Caenorhabditis elegans: one gene and its partner. The protein of the gene in region 1 interacts with the protein of each later gene in a pairwise test. Each region holds a gene or a part of one and is shown on either strand. Other genes may lie near its edges.

What was found.
Region 2: the proteins of nhr-46 (region 1) and fbxa-128 interact in a two-hybrid assay, tested with the Caenorhabditis elegans proteins (one large-scale study listed by BioGRID).

What each region holds. Positions count from the first base shown.
Region 1 is NC_003282.8:5,752,329-5,760,970, reverse strand, and holds the start of nhr-46 (Nuclear Hormone Receptor family), read left to right. Parts: upstream 1-3,108; 5' UTR 3,109-3,155; coding exon 3,156-3,581; intron 3,582-3,624; exon of another isoform or gene 3,625-3,645; intron 3,646-4,093; exon of another isoform or gene 4,094-4,114; intron 4,115-4,255; exon of another isoform or gene 4,256-4,279; intron 4,280-4,926; exon of another isoform or gene 4,927-4,950; intron 4,951-5,081; exon of another isoform or gene 5,082-5,102; intron 5,103-5,285; exon of another isoform or gene 5,286-5,306; intron 5,307-7,122; exon of another isoform or gene 7,123-7,143; intron 7,144-8,642.
Region 2 is NC_003281.10:11,134,434-11,143,119, reverse strand, and holds fbxa-128 (DUF38 domain-containing protein), read left to right. Parts: upstream 1-4,006; 5' UTR 4,007-4,093; intron 4,094-4,221; 5' UTR 4,222-4,225; coding exon 4,226-4,284; intron 4,285-4,641; coding exon 4,642-5,284; intron 5,285-6,028; coding exon 6,029-6,235; 3' UTR 6,236-6,321; downstream 6,322-8,686. Other genes in the region: pola-1 (DNA polymerase), read right to left, coding at 1-336, 388-481, 529-672; Y47D3A.1 (F-box C protein), read left to right, coding at 1,485-1,541, 1,586-1,675, 2,001-2,170, 2,214-2,335, 2,384-2,552, 3,103-3,859; pha-1 (F-box domain-containing protein), read right to left, coding at 7,138-7,882.

The DNA.
Region 1 (8,642 bases):
TACCTTATGCCTGCCAGTCTCCCATTAACTTCTGAGTTTTAAAGCAATCAAAATGGTTTTTGCATTTATGGTTGGTTTTTTTCAGTCAATCTGCGAAAATTAAAATTATTATCTGAGAATATGGACGTGGATAATTTGTCGGTAGGCATCAGATAGGCACAACGCAGGCATAGCCAAAAACATATTTGTAACGTTACTAAATGCCACTCAATTTTAATAAAATGGGCTCTGAAAGAGGGAAAAATGTACGGCCTGTTTTAAAAAAAAAACAAAGGTTCGCATTTTGGAAATTTTGGTCCAAAGCTGAATTTCTGTTAGGGACATGTTTCTAAATATTTTTCGCATGGTATAAAGTCCAAAATTGAACAGAAACAATTTTCTGGTTATCTCCATTTTTTTTAAATAACCAATTTATTACAGTTTCACACTGGATATTTTTATTTTTAAAAAAAACTGTGACTCTCCAGTGCCCTTTTATTTTCCGCAAACTGTTCTCTGTTCTATCATTTTCATGAAAACATGGCTTTCCAGTATTAACCATCCACCTCAAGATCGTAGACATCGATCCAATGTCGGCGGCAATCTGTTCCAGATCTGACGGCGTCTCTCGTCATTTTTTTATTTTTCAAGGTCTTCGCCTAATTTATCTCGACTCACTGTTCCGCGTTCCAGTGTATCGGTACCAGTACTTTTTTTTTAAATTTTCCTCAGACCAAATAGATCAGTTTTCTGAATAGTTTTTTTTTCTATATTAACATGTTTCACGTAGTCTGTATTGTTTCAGACTGTAGTAAGCTATAATTCGTAAAATTTTTATATTGAAAAATAAATAAGTTTGATGAATGATAGATACCAGCATTTGATAAGCTTCTAGGACAGGGACAAAATTTTAAAACTTGAAATTTGGCCTAACATCCTTTGAATTTGCAAACCGGTATAAGAGAATTTTAGATTTTTTTTTGAGATAGTTTTGAGAATTTCCTAGGTTTCAACTTTTGGGATATTTTGAATCTATTGTTGCAAAACAATGCTGATCCATTATTGCTTTTTTAGTATGTTTTATATAGTCGGTATTATTTGAGATTGTAGAAAAAATCTATAATTTCTTCTTTGTCATTAGGATTAGGCAAAAATACATTGGTCTACATCACAATGAGAGCGAAACAATACAAAATTGAATAACCTAATCAATAGTTTGAAACAGTTGTTTTTTGTTTTCCAATGGAAGGTTTTGGATAACCCTCGAATTAAAAAAACTCTCATTAGAATCAAATTTAAAATGAATACACTTAAAGCAGTCAGAAACCTGTAGGCTCCAATCAAAACCATTAAAACTCCCTAAAAATTGTTAAGATGCTATTTTAAGTTTCCAACCAATGCAAAGATTGAATATGTATGACAACATTGTTCTTGAAAATATGGAAAAAATTTGGTTTCTGGGCACTTTTAAAATTATTGAAACGTTGAGGAAAAACATTGCAAACTTTTTTTGATGTCCTAATGTGATTTGAGCTCCTTCAATGTAAATTTATAAGATTTCACTATAATTGCCGCTGAAACTATATTTTATATGTTTCAAGTGGTGTATAATATTAGAAAATGCTACCATAAACAATACGATCACTGGTTTATTTGTAAACTGATTGAAAAAAGTATAAATTTTGTAACAGACAAAAAGCATGGAAAATTATGAAAAAAAACGTTAAAACCCTTTATAACACAAAAAAATAGGCACCGAATCGTAGAGATTCCGGAATAGCTGAAATTGTCCGTTGTGACTCAGTTTTGCAGCCCTTATTCTGAGTGTGATGCGATACTTGCCAGTTTTAAATAATGAAATAATTCCATATAAAAATTCGCAAAAGTGATATCAAATTTTATTTTAATATTTTCAAAGTAAAAGTTATTCATAAAAGTGTTAGTTTTTCAATTAACAAAAAAAACTGAGCTCTCCATCTTCCGATCTCCTATTCCCAAAAACCATTTCTATCCATCTTCCCCTCCCATTGTTTTCCATTAATTTTGATTCTTTTAACAGATTAATAAACTTCCAGTCATTCAGCTTCCCTTCATCTCATTCTCCGATTCCTTAGATCATTATCATGATCAGCACCGGCCGTCTTGTGTCCAACCGTACCACTCGTCCCTCTCTCTCTCATTTCACAGTTTCCCTCGGGTTTTTCAAATATTGTGTTCAGATGGACATTCTTCTTCTGACTTTAAAATTTTTACTGCTTACGCGTCCGAAGAAAAAAGGAAATTAAAAAGCATCAAAGTAACAGCGTCAAAAACTTGGTTCAATATTTACCTTGAAACTGGAAAATTGATTGTTCCGATTTCTTGGCGGTGCTCTCTTCAACTTTTGTTGATTTCTTTGATCGCTCATTGCTCATGAATCAATCAGGTTAGGTACACAAAATGAATGAGCACTGAAACATTATTATTTCCATCTCGTCATTCGATTTTTCACAGTTTTATATTTTCGGTTCACAGTTCATCAAAACGGATATAGCTTTAGAGAAACATATTTTTTCACTAAAAATTAAAAAATTAAAATCGATGTTTATATTTTTTTATTTCAGAAACAGCTTTTTTTAATTACTGTTTCACAACCACATAAATAATTTTGAAATTTTTCACATCCCAATCTTCATGTTTTTCGGTTTCTAAAATTGTACAACATATAAAATTGTACAACATGCCTGTTAGAAATTTTGATCAAAACTCCCCAAAAAAACATTTTGTGAGACATTTATTAAACTGCGATTTTAACAAAGCAACTTGAATACTAGCAGAAAAATAGGATTATCTCTGAAAAAATTTCCAGCTGTTTTCAATCATATCAATCTTATCGGTTATCGATTCATTTTACGCCCTTCATCCATTTTCGCTTGATTTTTTTTTTGAAAAAAAGTTACTGTTTCAGAAGTCCAATAATTAATTTGATATTTCTCTTTATCCTATTCTTCACTTTTTCTAAAGGTTATGCATCTTTAAATGTATACTCTTGTTTGAGTTTGTGTGCTCTCTTATCATCATGATTATCATCTCTTCTCCTCCTCGTTTTAACCACTTTTTTTGCATATGACTATACCTCATTTTTTCCAGGTATCTATCTCAAATTTCCCATTTTCAAAACGACGTCTTCACTTGTTATGGAACTATTTCGATCGCCGCCACAAACGGCAATGTTTCCTACAACAGCTTCTAGTTCTTTTGTCTCAGCGGCTCTTCATCAACAACAATCATCTCCATCATCAAATCTTCCAGTAATCCCTTCACCAACTGATATGATTACTGTAACATCAACATCACCAATTCCAATCACAACTTCTGCATCACCACCGAATCTTCCAATGTTCTTAAGCTTTCCGAGCACATCAACGACGACAAGTATCCTTATGGATACTGTATTAGCTGCTCAAAAACTGAATCAACAGCAGAATCAGCAAGCATTCAATTTTATGGTTGTGAAGCAGGAAAATGGAGAAACTGGAAGAAATTTTATGACAATGAAGCAAGATGCTCTGCAAGCAATCACTAATACAGTTTCAAGGAATTCACCGCCAAATGTTATTAAGGTGTGTTTATTTTTTAATTAAAAACTTGGTATTTGAAATAAGAAAGCCCAGTCATTTTCTTGAAGTAATGAGTTTTAAACCTACATTTTTTACTGATTCGTAAAGCAGTAAATTTTTGTTCATATCAGCAAGATTTAATAAGTGTTTTTTAATTCTTGTAAGAATGCCTATTGAAATTTTGAATGAGAAATCCTAGCAAATTCATGAAAAAACATCAACAGCTTACCAAAATGCTCGGTTTAAAGCGAACGATAAAACAAAATGTTTTGTTAGTTTTTTTAATTTTTTATTTTGTTTTCATTTATTTCTACTGTTTCATGAAATAGTGAATTGGAAATACTCAATTTTTGTACGCCTGTACATACGCCTACAAAATGTGTTTTTTTCTGTAATTTGAAATTTCGCCATGAAATTTCGTATTTTCCTGACATGTAACCAAACGAGTAAGAAAAATCTTGAAATTTCCGAGTCTGCAAAATTCGGCAATTCCACATGTTCAAGGTTTTCTGAATATCTCGCTGCATGAAAGAAAAATCAGCAATTAACATTTTTCAACTTTTATACTGTTTGTAAAACATTAGATTTTTATTGTTGTGAAAAACTGTTTGGAATTTGATATGTTTTTTTACTGTTTCATAGCCACAATGAAATAGTCAATTTTAGTATTTATTTGCTGACTAACCACGATTCCTCAAAAAATATCAAATTTTCCGAATTTTTACAACCACTGTTTCAATGTTCAATTGTGTTACTTCGCTCTCTCCGATACAATTCCATAACATTTTATCATCATAAACGGCCGTGCAACACAGTAAAAATGGAATGATTTAACGCTCTCTCTCTTCCAAAAGGTTGAAAAGAATGAAAGAGCAGTGACGTACTGAATTTCAAATTCCACTATTTTCTGTCTGCATAAATGATCGATTTTTGTTTGGGGCGAATTCAGATACGGATTCCTGAAGGATCTCCCGTTTTAGGTGCAATGTAATCTAAAAGATCTTCGTGTTTACATGAAGCCTTGTCCCTAATTTCTGGAAAAAATGCCAAAATTTTCAAGATATTTGTACTTGATCATTGTCTTGTGCTCTCTCATTGTGCGCTTCTCCTCGCCAGCTGAATCAACAAATAATATTAATTTCTACATTACAAATTCGACATTAATTTTGACAATTTGAATGACTGTTTTATCTATCACCGCTCAATTTTGTGATCATCTCTTTATGATCAGTATCAATAAAACAAAGTGCCAACCGGAAATATGTGACAGTTCAGTTTCGCGGGTTAGTTCACGTGGTTTTCACGGTTTCGTTGAGTTGTATTTGCACATTGGTACATGAAAGAACATTCCGGAATGCGAAAAAAAGATTGAATGAATGAGTAAGGGGGTCTAGAATAAGTCGATGCCAGGAAACAGTAAAATTTTCAAATTGGTAGTTTAAGAACAAAAGTATAAGCGAATCTTATTTTAAAATCTGTTTTCCTTTTTTACAACAATATTTACTAAAATATTTATAGCTGTTAATAACTCGAAATTAACAATTTCCATAATAAACCATATCTGAAACAGTAGATTTTGTGTACCTCAATAACATTTATTTTTGGAATAGCCAACAGCCTTGCAAATAATTGTTTTTCTTCAATACCCTAACAAAAATAAAAATAATTGAAAAATGTTGAAATAGAAACATGCTTTAGCCTGCTTTAAAATTTATTTCACGATGTGTACCAAATTTTTATAATTTTACAGAATATCACAGTAACTTGTAATAGCAGAAAATTTGTGAAATGTGACTATTACTAAGTTTCCCACTATAGCCGTTCTGTTTGAAATCTGGCAATTTGTTCTTACTTTGACTGAAATTTCTGAAAATTCCAGATTGTTCTGGACTTTTAAAATATGATGCGTGTTCATGTGAAGGTATTATAAATGTATTTATACAAAATGCCTGTTGACGTGACTCCAAATTTAACTAAAAATATCTACTGCACCAAAAAAAATCCAAAAATTTTTCACAAAACTAATCTTATATTAGAAAAACTAAATATAAAACAACCAATATATATATTACAACAGGTCACTGTCTTTTTTAAACATTAAATTAATTTTAAAACGTAGTCTAAATTAGTTCTCTGAAAGTTCAATAGTTCATAAAGTTTCCCTCTATCTTCAATTTCCTTTCTGAAATAGCTTCCTTTTCCCTCAGGGGGTTTAGATGTGGAAATAATCCTTTTCTAAATGTAATGTAGTCCTGACATTAATTATGCCCATTTCCTCTATTCATCCATGAAAAATCTCGTCCCTCGTTCTCCTCTTGTTATGTTTCGAGTGTTGCTAATTTCTCGCCGATTCGGTCGCAATTTTTGAGCGCGGAGGAATTGACCCAATTTACACTAGCTTCATGTTGTTGGGCGAAAAACCGGAAAATGGTTCAGCTGTTGGAAATGCAGAAAATTTGAGGAAATACATTAGATCAAAACACACAGGTTGATAAGGTATTGTTGATCTATTGATGGAAAGAAGAAATCATAAAATTAGAACAGAGATATCGCAATCTCTATGATCTCGCAGAAACGTTTGTGATAATTTTTATAATATTTATATAGTTTTAGACCTTTTTATTTGAATTGTTCCAGTTTTTAATTTAAAAAAACCGTGCATTTGTACAGTTTAAGTTACATTATTCGAAACACTTGGAATTCGAAAAAAAAATCCCGTTTCAAATAGGTGTTTTATTTTCGTTTAAAATTTTGTCTGCGATTTTGTCTTTTTACAAAGTTTATTTCCAAAAAAACAACAATCTTACGTCACGTGCAAAATGAATAGAAATTTGATTAGGTGTGTATAGAAATAATGCAATTCTTAGTTTCCCTAGAGGACAGCTGAAAGTGTGCGATCTCAGTGAACTCGTGTAGTGATAAAAAAATGACACGTGTTTCCTGAATCAAAAACATTCGGGATCAAAAGGATCCATTTATATACTGATAAAACACACACCCAGAGAAACAGCATCACAGTTCATTGTCTGAATCTCTCAGTTTACCACACTATTTCACTCTCCTCTAACTCTTGTGCAAAATGAAATACGCAACAAAATGTAAACTTTAGGGGCGATTCTCTCACACTCTCCGCACTCTCTTAAGAGTGCCCACATTTTCTCGCATTTCTCTGTCGGTCTCTTCATAACATGTACTCTCTTCCAGGTTTCTAGATTTGTCTGCGTCCCAGTATCTCGCTCGCATGCCTGCACTTCTTCGATACCCGCCTTACTCTCCTCTTTCGCTCTCTCGATCATTTTTCGGTCTTCGTATCAAAGGATCGCAAGCACTTTTCAACTTTCCATCTTATGATTCTACTTGGAATTCTTAAACCATGTGTTTTGACCATCCTCTTCTCGTTTCTAGCGTTTTCCGTGAAAACCTTCGAGTTTCCTTGAAAATTTTGCCAATTTTCGGTACATTCTAGTTTAGATAAGGAGCCCCTAGATGGGAGGAAGAATTGCATGGAATCAAAATGATACGAGTGATATTTTGTACGATTTTCGAAATGCTATTCGAACCTGAAACACTTTGTAAATCCAAAATTTTATATCAGAATTTAGTGAAACAGAAAAAAATCGTTCATTTCTAAAGTTCAAATTGCTTCCAATCCTCTTTGTGTCTTCAACCACTGCATGTGGTTGAACAAAAAATGTGTTTTGTTGATCAACGCCGCACACACAGAGTCTCAGAGTGCACGCAACCCATGCTATTTTTTGCAAATATATTTTTTGGGAAGAAAATGTCGCATTGAAACCTTTTGAAACCTATCCCTCTCTCCGCCACGTGTTTTGCTCGCAGAGCTCCTTCTGTGTCTCGAATGTGTGCATTGTGGTATGTGTAGTCTCAGTTTGCTCAGACCGCTCTCAGTCCCTCACAAAAGAGAAAATGAAGACAAATAATATCTATCTATCTCTCTCTGACATTCTCCAATATCTCTTCCTCTCTATTTCTCCGTATCTCTCCACAAAACCGTTGTGCATTCAAAAAGACACTCGCAGAGCAATGTTAAAAGGAAATGTTTCATGTCATGTATAAACTAAACATGTATATATATACATAAGAAGTGATGGCGCGCGAGCGGTGTGAGAATGAACTCGGATATTATTGTATAAGGGGGGGGGGGGGGATTTAGATGATCAAAGAAGTTCAAATATATGGACAAAGGGTGAAAGGGTAAAGACCACACACGCGCGCGCCCCTGAAAAAGTCCAGAAAATAGAGAAAGTTTTGGGTCGCCTAAACTACATACACAAACGCCTCAGATGTTGCAAAGGGCCCGCGCGCACCCGCGTCACATCCTTGAGTATGAAAGCGTGAGAAAATAGTGTAGGAAGACGCCCTTTTTGAAGAGTATTCTGTTACGGGTGATGGCGACAAGTACCACTTTCAGCGCCGAAATTGACTACTATGGCCAGGCGACGATTTTTGAAACTTTAATTCGCCGTGTTTATGTGTCTGTTTCATTTATATGATTTCAAATAACAAATCAGTTTATTTTTGGAAAGTGTGATTTGTGAGCTACTAGTCAGAAGGGAAATGTCTAGAAAATTATGTGACAAATTCAGATGAAATTCATGTGATTTTATACTTTTTTCATGGCCATTTCCAATTTTACAGCTGGAATTGTATTTCCTAGTTTCGCGAAAAACCAGTTTTCATCTTTTGTTTCGGTATGGTTAGGTATTTTCAAGCGGTTAATTAATTAAAACACAGTTAAATGATTTCATTATGAGAGATTCAAAGCTCTAGAACTGAAAAAAAAATTAAAGATCTCTCTCATGCTTTCTCATGTGAATCATGATGACTTTAATTCGAGATCTTACTTTTCATGTAGAAATAATTTTGATCAAACGTTTTCGCATATTTATTTGCTCACAGAGCCATGGGAATTTACATTTGCAAAATGCCAGAATTTCGGAAGAATATACTATAGTTTAGATATAATGTCAATGGATTTAGAAAAAAGCTGAGAGTTGAGAGTTTTTAGGGAAAAGGCCAAAAAGAGGGGTTAACATTAAACTA
Region 2 (8,686 bases), on another chromosome or scaffold:
AGCCGCTCGGTGAGTCGAATTTTCGTCCCCGCTTGAACGGATTCGCTGGGGTCGCCTTCGGCTTCTCCTCGGCCTCCTCATCGCTGCTTCCCAGCTGCTCCAGCATATTTTTCACCTCCTCATCGTCGTCAAACTCGGCTTTCACCACAGACTCGTCGATCGGCTTCTTGGTGGAGGTTGTGGAGAGGAATGCATGAAGTCCTCCCTTTTTCTTGTCTTTTTTCGGCTTTTTCTCGCCTTTTTTCGAGGAATTTGAATTTTTCGAAGAACTGGGCGCATAATCGTCTTCGTAGTCATCTTCAAAGTCTACACCGTTGTCTACGTAGCCCATTCCATCTGAAAAATTTATATTTTGAAAAATGTTAACAATTTAAATCAGAAAAATACCATCATCGACAATAAAATTGTCCTTTTGTCGTTTTGCAACGATTTTCTCGTACTCATCATCATCAACCGTGTCGTAGACGTCCTCCACGTCGAGCTAAATGAAAAAAATCGTTTTATAACAAAAATCTGCTATAAAACTACCTCTGGGCGATAGGCTTTTCCTGTTGATCGCGCCAATTTCAGCTGCTCAATTGCAGACAGCTCCTTCGACTTCTTTTGACTGACTCCACAGCGGCGAGACGAGCGTCTAACATCCGATTCTGCATGGTTTTCCGAGTCGGACATCTGAAAAACGAAGAAAAATTACAAAAAAATCGCAAAAAACATAGCAAAATTAAGCGAGAAAGTGAGAAAATGCGGTAAAACGTTCAAAAAATTGTTTGAAAATTTGCTTCGCGCGCTGCCTTTCCTTGCAGTAGAGCGCGCTTGCAATTTCATGAGACCTCGCTGTTTTCGGGATGATGAGTGTGGTAGAAGTGAATTTTCGCAAAAAGTTAATGTTTTCTAGTTGACGTAATTAAAAAAATAAATGATTATTTTAAAATATAGTTGTTTAATTGACATTTCTAAAGTTGTCAACAGGAAAACAGCAGAAATATTATAATTTTCTCACCAGATCAATTTCTCCCGGTGTTTTTCCCGTTTTTTCAATGAAAAAAATTTATTTAAAGATAAAATAATAAAATCAAGCATGGAAAACTGAAAAACTGCTCTCAAAATTCGATAAGAAAATATATTTTCGAAAATTGAGCCCGCTACGGTAGAATTTAAATTCTTACTGTAAATAGTTTTCGCTAAGAGATATTGCGCGTCAAATCAAATGCCCCAGTGCGCATTCTCAGAATTGTGTGTTCCCGTAATATGACTACATCCTGTGTCCATTGACCTGTATGACGTCACGGAAAACACAGCTGTTCGGCCCTCCTGCCAAATATCTATTTTTTGGGAGTTATTCCTAATTCCTGTGTGCCGAGAAATCTATTAAATAAATACATATTCAGTTTTTTATTCACTAAATTTCTCTACATAACAGGCTAACCTATTTTTTTTAATGAATAATGTGAATTCAGTTCAATCAATATTTTCAGCCGTTCGGAATGAGTTTGTCAAGAATTTATAGAAACCAATTTACGCCTGTTGGCGACAATTCTTCTGTAAGTTAAACCAAATCTGAAAAAAAATGCGAAATGGTTTTCAGAACAGCATGAAAGTGTTCACAAATCAAAGAATCGTCGACAATATTCTGAAATATGTGAAAGGAGATATGAACAATCGGTTGAAGTCACGTGTGAGTAATTTTTATAAATTTTGATAAGAAAATATTTTAGTCCAATATCACGGATATCTGGCTTCCCTCATAAATTGAAATGGAAGAGTTTGTGCCAAACTAGACCATTTTGGCTCGACCATATCTGGGGTAGATTTACGGCGCGTTGCGTGTCGCGTCGCGGCTTGTAAAACTGAATGTATTTGTCCGTGTGGAGTACACGACTTTCCCACGCCTTGTCCGGCGGGCGATTGTCAATAGAGCGCGAAAAATGCAATGAGGAAGGCCAGAGCCCAGTGTTTTCGTCCAATATTTATATTTCAAGTTATAATAAATAGCTTTGCAGCTGGTCAACAAAGCATTCAATTTTGGAATCATTCATTCGATTCGAATAGAGCATCAAACAGTGATCTTTCACAAGCCTACTCGTTGTGATATTATTAGAAGATGCCCAAATTGTACAGTGAACTTGAATTCGGTAGAGCTTAATGTTAAGAACATACGAAAGTATGCGAGGCAAGTTTTGTTATGAAAATGAGTATGTAAATTTATATTACAGGTTCTTGAAACAAACGATGAAGATAACGGTATTCAAAATAATAATTGAAGACTTGGAATTCAGTTGTATTGATAGAGAAATTATTCATTTGGCTCTCAATGACTTATTTACAGATTCAGATTGTGAGTTCTATTGATCCATTCTTAATTTTCTAATATTCTTACTTTCAGATGAGAGAGTCGAAGAATTTATTGGAGTTGATAATATCTGCATTGCAGGATGTGGCGAATGTAGAAAAATGATTCAAAACTGTAAAGTATACGGGCCAATTCAACTGGACATATTTCAAAGTGTAATGGGGCAAAAACGAAGCTTTGATGCATTACAGATCACAGACGAGTGAGTTTTAGAATTTTTCTAAAATTTTTGAGAACCGTATAAACTTATATACATAGGCACGTGATGTTAAAGTGCCCAATTTCGGTGTGATCTACCAAAAATGCGGGAGAAGAGGCGCAGACTTCTCAACAGATTTCGTATGGTTAACAGCGTGCTGACGTCACATTTTTTTCTGCAAAAAATTCCCGCATTTTTTGTTGATCACACCAGAATTGGGCAGTTTGACACCACGTGCATATGTAATACTACCCACTTACAAAGTACTAAACCGTTTGAAAATTCCGACGCTGAGAAAATTATGCATGATCGATTTTCAATTACTACATACTTTACGGTAATTACGGAAAAACTCTTAAAATTTTTATCAGCCAACGTTCGAAACAAACGCGTGGTGTTAGAGTGTCCACGAAAATCGCGAGAATTTAGTTGCAAAATTCCTAACCCACTTTACATGGTTTGGGAAAAAATGCCACCATTTTTTGTAGATCAAACCGTTATGGGACAGCCTGACACCACTTAAACGAGCCCATTACACAATTAATCATTTCAGAGATCTCTACGTATTATTATGGCTTAACAAGCAGAAGGATCCGAAGCTAGTTGAAAACTTTATCAACTCGATCATCACTTGCTCAAAATTTACAATTTTTCTAACATCTATATTCGAAAAGAAGGAATTGGGACATTCTCTACCGAGAGAGCTTGTGGATATGTTAATAACAAAATGGAATGTAAAAACTGTTGAAATTGGGTTCAAAAATGTGACGAACGACGATTTCTATCAGAATACTGATTATATTGATCCAAAAGCTAAATTCTATGTGGATTACCGGACTCAACAACGTTCAATGTACACATTGGATGTAGTGGAAATTAATATAAAACTCACAAGAATAATGGAAAAGTGTCATGGATCACTATTTAACAATTTTGTTCCAAATGTTCGCACGATATTCCCATCCAACAAGATCACTTTGAAACTCTCGAAGGAAGTTTGCAAAGTGCTCATGAATCCTGACAACGTTGAGGACTTCATTTCAGGAGTTATTTTGATGGCTCAAAACGATGATCACCCTAATTCACATATTTCTCTAAAGTTATATCCCCAGCAATTACGTTTTCGTTTGATTACTTCGTTTTTATGTGATAATCTAGTTAAGTTATTTGGTTTCTGGAGCTTAAAATCAGTTTCAAAAATTTCTGAAAATGAGAGAGGTAAATCCTTTCATTTTTTCAACCGATCAATTAATTGTAACATCAACTTCGATGTGGTATATTCTTTTGATGTTGTTGAATATGTAGATTGAATAAACTTTAAAGACTTTTTTGTTTTGTACTATTAATAAACCATCACTTGGTGTCAGATTGCCCCATCGCTCTACTGCACACAAAAATGGCGGGAAAATTTATGTTTAAATTTTTGTGGCCTTCTTTTGATCCCTTGAACTTTCTCTTGGGAGTGGCGCTTGTGGAGCGTTGCACAACATTGTATAATCTTTTTCACAGCAGACGCAGGGAAAAACAGACATTTGTCGAAGGCGGTGAGTGCAATAAATAAGCATCGAGTCATGATTATTCCATGCACTTTTTGTGACCATGGAGCTTTTTTTCTATTTTTTTAAAATTAAAAATGGAAAATTACCAAAATTACAAAACTTTTTTTTTTCAGTAAAATGGAGCCATCAACGTCAGTCAATCAATCTGGGAATCAGGAAAGTGGGACTCAATATCCGTGAGTTAATGATTTAAGGATATAACTTTACTGAACTAAAGTAATTTTCACAAAAAAATTGAGAAAGGTGGAGAAGGTTTAGGGGTTCCATGTAGGAATTAAAATGTCTGCCTGCCTCAATTTGCGCTTTATGCTTGAACTTATACTTGAACTCTTTAGTGACAAAAATGGAAAATTTTTAAATGTGTAAATTCATGCCAAAATGCAAATGAAGGCGGAAGGCCGGCTAGGTTTCAGGCAGGCCCTGAAACCGGGCCTGCCTACCATGGAAGCCCTAACAAGGTTATTAATTTTTTGCATGTTAAAAGTATTCGCAAAACTTTCTAGTTTTTGACTGAAAACTTCCAAAACTTTCAGATCCACCACACCAAAACTCTTAAGATATTTCATTTGTATGAACAGTGTGGATTCTAAAAGAATTGCTATCAGAATACTAAACGACGTCCCGAAACTGTTTATCGGAGCAAGTTGCTCACATCGGAAAGGTGCCGGAGCACTTGTTTATAAAAGTGTGGAAAATGGTTGCATTGTGGAGTTCGGAACTGAGCAACGATTTGTGGAAGGTGGAAATAGTTTCAAGTTGGCTTTTGATGATTTGGAGGAAGTTATCAGATTTTTCAAATATTCACTGGAATCTTTGGAGGTTTTACTCGATGAAAAAGTTGGCATGGAAAACCGCAATTTGTGCATTTCATCTATTCTGGGTGGTTTATCGATGCACGTATCTAGCTTGTCACTTCGTGGCTTGTCTTCCAAAGAAATGATGTTAATAATATCGAAATGTGAATCTGGAGTACTGGAAAGTATTCACTTGGGAAACTGTAATATGCTTTGTTCATTAAATGAAATTTGCCAACTGGAACAATGGAAAATGACAAAGTCACTCAATGCTCATGGAGGGAAATTTTCTGTGGATTCTATACAACACTTGTTTCATTTCACAGAGTTTACTATCACTCTAGATACATTATCCACAGAAGACGCCATCAATGTTAGAGATGTAAGTGGTAGCCGAAACCTGGGCAGAAATAGCCGTTCGGCAAATCGGCAATTTGCCGGTTTGCCGAACATTAATTTGCCGGAAGTTTTTTGAGGGATGTTTTATAAGACGGAAACACTTAAAACTGTGCCTTTTTGAAATTTTTTGCTTAGTTTTCAAAATATATGTAGAAAAATTTATCGGATCTGTACAATTTTGCCGGTTAAAATTGAAATTCTGAAATTTCCAATAAAAAAGCCAAAAATTTTTGCAATTACCGTTTTCCGACAAATCGGCAACTTGCCGGAATTGAAAACTTACGGCAAATCGGCATCTTGCCGGTTCGCCAATTTGCCATAGGTTTTCAATTCCGGCAATTTGCCGATTTGCCGGAAATTTTGCTGCCCACCTTTTTATGATTAATCGACTTTCCGTAAAATCAAAAAAACATTGTTTCAAAAATATTCAAAAAATTAACAAAAGAAAATAGAACATTATGATTGTCGTATTCAAAAAAATTAAGATTTCAAGCTATTTTTCTAAACAATTTATTCAACTAACTATTCTAAAAGTTTTGCAAAACAGTGCAACAGAACAATTTTAGATTGCAACCCCTTAAAAATAAAATCTATAAAACACTTTAAAGAGAGCTGACAGTTAAACAAATCCTCAGGCGGCTGGAAAAATTTTATTTTTAAAAAAATTATGGATTTTGGCCCAACTAGTCTATCTCCAATATAATTTAGTTGTAAAATAAATTTTCAGGTGCTCGTCAAATCGTCCAATTTTTTGCACTGTTACATCCATCTCCCATTCTTAAACATTCAAGAAATCGCTACAATTTTCAAACCTGACTTTTCCAATCACTCTGCTGAAACATTCACAATGACACTTAAGGAAACAGTTAATGAATTTATTATTGACATGAGTCCCTACCACTTCAAGATTACCAATATACTTCATTCCTTTTAATCGGTTGTCATTCAATTTGATCTTGCATATTTTCGATAAATTTCTGGATTTTTAATGAAATTTTTAATGAAATTTTTTAGTACAAAATGCTTAAATACCTCTAGTGGCCCATAAAACCAACAAGAAAAACTTTCACTGTTTCCCCGTTGCTTTGAAATATTCTGCAAACATTTTTAGTTTTTACTACTTTTGTAACTAATATTGAAGAGTTCATTAAAACAGGAAAAGGCAAAAAAAACAAGGAAATATAATATTATAGAGATTACACATAATGTAAAAAAGGAGTGGGGTGCCAATAAAAGAGGGAAAATAGAAAAAAACTATGGAAGAAGTTAAGTATAGCTAGGTTGATTGTTGGGGTTATAATTGAACACACGGTGGGTTCTTGGCAGTAACAAATATTACGGGAACACTAAACTTTGAGAATGCGTATTGCGCATCATATTTGACGTGAAAGATATCTCGTAGCGAAAACTACAGTAATTCTTTTAATGACTACTGTAGCACTGATGTCAATGCCGTTAGAAACAAATTTATTCTCAAATTGCGATAGCGTTTTTTAATTTTCCTCCAATTTGTTCGTTTAGATGTTTTTTTTTAAGTTTTTATCCATTATTTAGAAAAAATAACGCAAAATCGGATCAGCGCTACAGAAGTCATTTCAAGGATTACTGTAGTTTTCGCTACGAGATATTTACTTTAGACACGTTGCGCAATACGCGTTCTCAGAATTCAGTAGAAATGAGTAGTATTTTTATGGATGTAATATGATTTTTTTGTCAAATACTGTTTCACTACTTGAGTTTTCACATTAGCAGATTTTTACTTCATAATTATCTATTTAAAGCGTATTGAAGTGGTAAAGAGTATTTGTCAAAAATGGTTACTAAATCCATGCGAGATTAGCAACAAATATAAAAAATAATCTTACAATTTGTTGACTGGTTGAAAAACTGATAACATTTTTCTGCTGGGAGATTTGCAGAACTGTCTGAAACGGTTTCGAGGTTCCAAGAATCAAATTTCTTCTCGAAATTTTCACGTAGAAACGAATCAATTAAAGGGGCATCTACTTCTTCAGGATATAATTTGAGAGATATATGCGAGTTAGGTTGAGCATCCTTTTGAGTCATCAATATTATTCCCGATATAAAATCTTCAACATTTCCTTGACTCATCATCTCTTGGCAAACTTCCTTCGAGAATCTTACAGTGATCTTATTGCTGGGAAAGATTCTGCGAGCGTTGGCAATAAAATTATCGAATAGTGATTTCCGATTCTTTATTTGTTGTTCGACTACTTTTGTGAGTTGTAGATCAATTTCAACGCCATCCAATGTGTATTTTGACCTTGGTTGAGTCCAGTAATCCACATAAAACTTGGCTTTTGGCACAATAAAATCAGTGTTACAATGGAAATAGTAAGGTATTGGTTGGTCTTGTCTTGGAACAATCTCCACAGTTTTCACATTCCATTTCTTAATCAATAAATCCAGAAACTCCCTTGGTAGAGAGTATCCAAATGCCTCCTTTTCGTACATATACATTAGAAAAATGGTTAATTTTGAGCATGTGATATTCGAATTGATAAAGTCTTCAACTACTGTCGGATCTTCTTTGTTAAGTATCATTAATTTGTAGAGTCTCCTGAAAATTCAGATTTTGCAAACTTATAATGAGTGAACCAAAATTAGTAAAATAGTTTTTGTTACTACAGTGCGTGTACTGCTTTTTTAAAAATTTTTTAATGAGAAAACTGAAAACTTTTAGAAAAGTTATTGTCCTCTTGCATTAAGCATCGTATTAACCTCGGATTTTTGAGTACATTTCGCGTAAAATCACGATTTTTCTACTATTTTCAGAAAAAATAATTTGGACTATAAGCGCAATTATGTATTGTTTTCCAAATCTGTGTAGCAAATTAAATCTTCATTCTAGCACATGTTTCACATTTTAAGACGTTAAAACTCAATAAACGCCCTGTAATTGGTACATATATCTTACAATAAACAATACTGAGAAAAAACGGTAAAACTTATTAAAGGTGGTGTAGTCGAATTTGAGACTATACTTAAAAACATTCACTATGCTCGTACAAGTCGATATGTAAAAGCGAAACATCACAAAAATTTTGCTAAAGGAAGTTATGAGCCTTCAAAGTGCCGAAAAAAATCTCTTCGTCCATCTAATTTGAATTTCGCGCGCAAATGAGCGCCCCCTCGTGTGTACTCCTCTCGGACAATCAAATAATTAATTTCTCGATTTTCGGCAATTTTCGTATTTTATCGTGATTTTTCATAGTTTTTTCGATGTTTTAATCGAATTAACGACGAGCCAATGTCTATGAATACAATTTAAACTGATTGATTGCCCAATGACACCTAAAAATAGACAAAACTCACATTTTATTGCATTATCCAGTTATTACTCCATTTTTTGAACTGCTTTACG